Linked DNA regions of Mus musculus. The protein of the gene in region 1 interacts with the protein of each later gene in a pairwise test. Links are inferred from orthologs where the notes say so. Each region holds a gene or a part of one and is shown in the gene's direction. Other genes may lie near its edges.

Region 1 (3,753 bases):
ACTCAGTCATCTGTCCCTCCCACCTGCCGGTCCTCAACACCCCCCATGCCCCAGTCCACACAGGCAATAGGGGATGGTGGGAAGGGGGGGCTCTTCCACTCCTAACTTGCCTCTCCTGGAAGAGAGAAACTCGACGGGGGAGGTCTGCATACTTTTTAGGAGTTGCCTGTTATCTGCCCTTCTGAGGCCTACCCTAGAGTGAGCATGCTCCTGGGTCTCTAAGAGTTGGCAGATGGCCTGCAGCTCAGGCTCGGCCCTCACGCCAGTCAGCCACGTCTGCTGGCGTCAACAATCTCCTTTGCCTTCTACTCCTTAAACTCCAGTAGCAGAGTTGCCCCGATTTTGCAGGGCTACCAAGAGCAAAGCGACAGAGAAGGAGAGAGGGCAGAGAAGAGAGTGGACACCCGGCCTTTCCCAGAGAGCTGGGTTCGTAGCCCCCCCCACCCCCACCCCCACCCCCGAATCCCGGGACCCTGGGGTCGAATTACAGAAGCTCCCATTGCCATGCTATTGGCCGGCAGGAATCAGGGAAGAGGGCTCTAAGACCCTTTGGATGAGGACAGAAGTTTCTTTTCTTGCTTTGGTCCCCAGCACATTCACCATGGTTCCTCCCAGTCAATCCTCTGCGCACGTCCCTCTACATTCCGAGGCTGGCGAGCCAGTGACGCAACCTCGCCCTAGGCGCCGGGATTCCGGGCTCAGGTCTCTTGCAGGGGTTGGGTAGTGGCGGCCGCCCCGAGCTGAGGGCGTGGTGTCTGTTGGATTCCCACCCTTCCCACCCCGCGTGCTCCCAGCTCCGCCAGGGTCCTTGCGACCACGCAGAGATTTTCGGCCCACAAGATGCCCGCCACAAGAGAGCCAGGAGGCCTCATCCCCTCTCACCTCTTGCCAGTTCAGCTTTCTGGGCTGGGTGGGGAAGGGGCCGCGGAGGGGGCCTCCCATCCCCCCACATCTGGTGGCGGAGGCGCGCAAAGCCGGGCGCGCGCAGAAGGCAGTCTCGACTCCCTTTGGTCCCAGTGCTCCAAGTCAGCTCCGGGAGCGGCCGCTGCTACCGCCGCGGCCCGGGCTGCCTGGGGGGGCGAGCGCGCGTCACCTACACTGAGGAGCGCCGGGGATTTAAATGCCACTGAAACGGTGATCCATCACGGCCGCAGCCGGTAAACTTTCGCAGGCGGCTCAGCCATTGGCTGGTAGAGTCACGTGTCCTCCCCTCGAGCCCTCCGCCTGCCCGCCCCGCCTCTTGCGCACTGTACATTCATATCATTTTTCTTCTCTGGTCCTATGGAGGAAGTGAGAAAGTTGGCACGGTCACCCAGGGCTTCGCAGGATCCAATCACTCAGTGACAGATGGACAATGCAAGAATGAACTCCTTTCTGGAATACCCCATCCTTGGCAGTGGCGACTCTGGGACCTGCTCGGCGCGAGCTTACCCCTCTGACCATGGGATTACAACTTTCCAATCCTGCGCGGTCAGTGCCAACAGCTGCGGCGGCGACGACCGCTTCCTAGTGGGCAGGGGGGTGCAGATCAGCTCGCCCCACCACCACCACCACCACCACCACCATCACCACCCCCAGACGGCTACTTACCAGACTTCTGGAAACCTTGGGATTTCTTATTCCCACTCGAGTTGTGGTCCAAGCTATGGCGCGCAGAACTTCAGTGCGCCTTATGGCCCCTATGGATTAAATCAGGAAGCAGACGTAAGTGGTGGGTACCCCCCGTGCGCTCCCGCTGTTTACTCTGGAAACCTCTCGACTCCCATGGTCCAGCATCACCACCACCACCAGGGTTATGCTGGGGGCACAGTGGGCTCGCCCCAGTACATTCACCACTCATATGGACAAGAGCAGCAGACTCTGGCCCTGGCCACGTATAATAACTCCTTATCCCCTCTCCACGCCAGCCACCAAGAAGCCTGTCGTTCCCCTGCTTCAGAGACGTCTTCTCCAGCGCAGACCTTTGACTGGATGAAAGTTAAAAGAAACCCTCCCAAAACAGGTAAGTCCTGCCGGCTGACAGACAAATGCTGTTCGATTTTTGAAAGGGGCTGGCACACCTAGTTTCCTAGGAAAATGAATGATTTTTAAAAGATTGGTTCTTGTTTATGTCTAATGTCATCTAGAGTTGTAGTGAGTGGTGTAGGGTGCCCAGGTGTGCAGAGGCAAAAGCGTTTCACAGGGGCTGAGGTTTAAATGGTCTATAGTTAGATAGTGTGCGGGGAGTGGGAGGTGGTGATGGTGGTGATGGTGGTGATGGTGATGTCCTGTTAATATCTACAAGGCTCCATTAATCACGAGCCTGATCACACTAATGGTTGACTTCAGGTTAACACTGCTTACACATCGTCACTGGCGCTTCCCGATAGGGTTTGTGCTCGCTGAGTAGTTAACCGAATATTGCCTCAAGCTTGGGGCAATCTGGATAAAGGTTTAAGATTTTTTTTTTAATCTTTTCTCTCTTCCTCCCCTACCCTAGGGAAAGTTGGAGAGTACGGCTACGTGGGTCAACCCAACGCAGTGCGCACCAATTTCACCACCAAGCAGCTCACAGAGCTGGAGAAGGAGTTCCACTTCAACAAGTACCTTACACGAGCGCGCAGGGTGGAGATTGCCGCGTCCCTACAGCTCAATGAGACCCAGGTGAAGATCTGGTTCCAGAATCGCCGCATGAAGCAGAAGAAGCGTGAGAAGGAGGGGCTCCTGCCCATCTCCCCTGCCACTCCTCCTGGCAGCGATGAGAAAACGGAAGAATCATCTGAGAAATCTAGCCCCTCGCCCAGTGCCCCTTCTCCGGCATCGTCTACCTCAGACACTCTGACTACCTCCCACTGAGGCTACTCCAGCCCAACTCTGCAGCCCAGGCTTCTCCCTGGGCTGGGATTTCTTACCCAAAGCACATTCTTAGCTTATCTTCCTTTCTTTACAGACTCTCTCTTCCTTTCTCGTCCCATCTGGGGAGCTCCTGGCCAAGATAAGGTATTTCCAGAGAATTCTGGAGCCTTGGTTGGAAGTTAACTCCTTCATCCACATCGGGTGTCCACATCAATTGCTGATGGCTCCCAACATCCTTTCCTTCACTGTTGTGAGATTTTTTTCTCCCCACAACCTATGATTCCTTTTAGATGTCGGCTGGAGAACAGTTAGTTCCCTTTGCCATCAGACATTTGCAGGAAGGAGGCATCTCTCCTTTTATCTATGTATTGTTCTTCTCCACCTAGCCCTTAAGTAGGACATAGAGGAGAGAGAGTGTCCAAAGACTCATGAAGAAGAGATGCACTGTGTTTACACAATTAATTCACCCCCTAACTTAGCTGGTTTCATGTGTGTGAGTTTGCTGGTTGTAAATGCTTTCCCGTCAGAGATTTATCTTTATACACATTTTATAGAAATATGTAGGTCACTAAATCAAACAGGGTGGACAAATTCTCAAAACTGGTACAGTTCATGTGTGATTATGGGCGAAAGAAGAAAACCTCTTTCATTCAAACAGAGTCAGATGCCTCAGAAGTTGGCCTCAATTGGTTCTTTCAGAGTTAAGAAGGCCTGCCAAGCACTTTGCCTGTGCCAGGTCTTCCCAAACTCTAACCAATTCTTCCTGCTTCTCTGGCCACCCTGCATTTAAAAATCATGCTGGATCATTTGTAACCCAAAGGTATTCATTCTTTCAGTCACCCTTTCCTTCCACACTGTCTTGTATCATGGCTGGATCCAGTGTATTTCCAGCTAATTGTTAATGTGATGGATGGCACA
Region 2 (2,486 bases), on another chromosome or scaffold:
GGGTGCTGGGCTCCCTCTCTCTTGGTCAAGGTCTGTGGGACTCAGTTGTGAGGCCTCCCCTTGGCCCAGGGTCCTCATCCCCGCCCTCCCTCAGATATCGATGAGTGCGGCTACTCCAGTTACCTCTGCCAGTACCGCTGTGTCAACGAGCCAGGCCGATTCTCCTGTCACTGCCCACAAGGCTACCAGCTGCTGGCTACAAGGCTCTGCCAAGGTACAGGTGCTTGGGTGGGCAGGAGTTGAGCGGCTGGGAGCTTACTGTGAGTCCTAGAGTCCAACTCCACCTCCCTTGGCACAGATATTGACGAGTGTGAAACAGGTGCACACCAATGTTCTGAGGCCCAAACCTGTGTCAACTTCCATGGGGGTTACCGCTGTGTGGACACCAACCGTTGTGTGGAGCCCTATGTCCAAGTGTCAGACAAGTGAGTCAACCTGATGGCAGTTTGCTGTGGTAACTCCAGAGGTCTGTGGGGCCTACTGGTTTAATCGGGTTGGTGAGGACTCATAATGTCTCATTGGTCTTTTATGCTCGGGCTTTCCTCTTTAGGAGGTGGGTATTTGGGAAATGGGCCCAGCCCTCATTCCTGTCCCATCTTGGGGTCTCTAGCCGCTGCCTCTGCCCTGCCTCCAATCCCCTTTGTCGAGAGCAGCCTTCATCCATTGTGCACCGCTACATGAGCATCACCTCAGAGCGAAGTGTGCCTGCTGACGTGTTTCAGATCCAGGCAACCTCTGTCTACCCTGGTGCCTACAATGCCTTTCAGATCCGTTCTGGAAACACACAGGGGGACTTCTACATTAGGGTAAGGTGCTTCTTTACCCACACTCAACTGACTCAAGTAATCTAAAATAGGAGGTCTGAAGTCATGTAAGTGGGAGCTGCCCTGCCTCTGCTCCCAAAGCCCTGTCCTAGGAAGCAGGGGCCGTGTCAGAAGTCAGAGTTGTCTCCTAGTAAGCACGCTACAGGCAGTTCTAAGGAACAGTCGGTTAGTGGGGTCTTACTCCCAGTACTGCTTTCTCCTGCCTGGCTTTGACTTCCTTATACATAAAACAAGAAATGTAGTTTCTGCAGAGCTGGGATCAGAGACTCCAGTCTGCTGGCAAAGGGAAGGCAGTAGGGATGCTGGCGCAGGTGTGAGGGCTCTTGCACGTGGGTCCTTAAGCTGCCTTAGGCACTGAGATGTTTGGCATCAAAACTTCTTTCAAAATCGCTTTGGGGCTGACCTCCCAGCTCCATGGCAGAACATTCCTCTATTCTTAGGCCCTCAGTTCTTGCTCAGCATCAGTGTCAGAGCGAGAACTGAGTACTCTAGAGGGAAGTGGGACGCCTCTCGGGCACCAAAGTCCCATTATCCCCAAACTTTGAGTCATCAGGAGGTCATGATGGAGGGAAAGTCGAGGCGACTAGGGGGCAGGAAGGAGTTGCCGAGGAGAGCAAGTGGCAGGGTCTCAGATACTGAGGGAGAAAAAGGTCTACAGGTTAGAGCCAGGGAAGGACTTGAGCAGGGGCCTTGTCAGACTTTCCTGACTTCAGGCCACGGGAAGCCGGCTGATGCTGGGGGAGGGTCCTGGCTCCTAGGCTAACACCATCTCTATGTTCTACTGTCCACTGTACCCTGCAGCAAATCAACAATGTCAGCGCCATGCTGGTCCTCGCCAGGCCAGTGACGGGACCCCGGGAGTACGTGCTGGACCTGGAGATGGTCACCATGAATTCCCTTATGAGCTACCGGGCCAGCTCTGTACTGAGACTCACGGTCTTTGTGGGAGCCTATACCTTCTGAAGACCCTCAGGGAAGGGCCATGTGGGGGCCCCCTTCCCCCTCCCATAGCTTAAGCAGCCCCGGGGGCCTAGGGATGACCGTTCTGCTTAAAGGAACTATGATGTGAAGGACAATAAAGGGAGAAAGAAGGAGTCCTGGCTGAGGTGGGTGAGTAACCTCAGCCCGGGAAGGGGCTGGCCTGCGAGAGGGGCAGGTGAGTTCCACACAAGGGGTCCTCTCCAGTCAGGCTGAGGTTTCAGAGCCAAGGTCATTCTTCAGAATCAGCCTGAGCAGTGGGCAGTGGTGGCGCACACCTTTAATCCCAGCACTCAGGGGAGACAGAGGCAGGTGGATTTCTGAGTTCGAGGCCAGCCTGATCTACAGAGTTCAAGGACAGCCAGGGCTACACAGAGAAACCCTGTCTCAGGAGGAAGAAAAAAAAAAAAAAAAAAAAAAGGCCTGAGCAGGGAGTTCTGAAGAGTATGTACCTCAGGTCCTCACTCAAGAGCTTGGCTGATACTGGGCCCAGGAACCATGTTCTGGTCAGTGCTAGGAGTTTGGGGTTAGCATCCTAGCTCTACCCCAAGCTCTGCACTTGTACAAGCCTCTGGTCTCCAGTCACTAGAATGAGGCAGCTGGATTGAGAAACTTTTTGACCGGGGGCCATCTAATTACACTCAAACATACAGTGCCTTATTGACCCCATCTCTCTGACCAGGG

What was found. The genes of interacting proteins can lie anywhere in the genome.
Region 2: the proteins of Hoxa1 (region 1) and Efemp2 interact in a two-hybrid assay, tested with the Homo sapiens proteins (2 studies listed by BioGRID and IntAct). The link is inferred for Mus musculus from reciprocal best matches to the Homo sapiens genes HOXA1 and EFEMP2.

The regions. Positions count from the first base shown.
Region 1 is NC_000072.6:52,155,816-52,159,568, reverse strand, and holds the start of Hoxa1 (homeobox protein Hox-A1), read left to right. Parts: upstream 1-1,251; 5' UTR 1,252-1,347; coding exon 1,348-2,002; intron 2,003-2,479; coding exon 2,480-2,835; 3' UTR 2,836-3,753. UniProt on the Homo sapiens protein: Sequence-specific transcription factor. Regulates multiple developmental processes including brainstem, inner and outer ear, abducens nerve and cardiovascular development and morphogenesis as well as cognition and behavior.
Region 2 is NC_000085.6:5,479,936-5,482,421, forward strand, and holds the end of Efemp2 (EGF-containing fibulin-like extracellular matrix protein 2 isoform 1 precursor), read left to right. Parts: intron 1-94; coding exon 95-214; intron 215-298; coding exon 299-425; intron 426-610; coding exon 611-806; intron 807-1,625; coding exon 1,626-1,787; 3' UTR 1,788-1,919; downstream 1,920-2,486. UniProt on the Homo sapiens protein: Plays a crucial role in elastic fiber formation in tissue, and in the formation of ultrastructural connections between elastic laminae and smooth muscle cells in the aorta, therefore participates in terminal differentiation and maturation of smooth muscle cell (SMC) and in the mechanical properties and wall integrity maintenance of the aorta.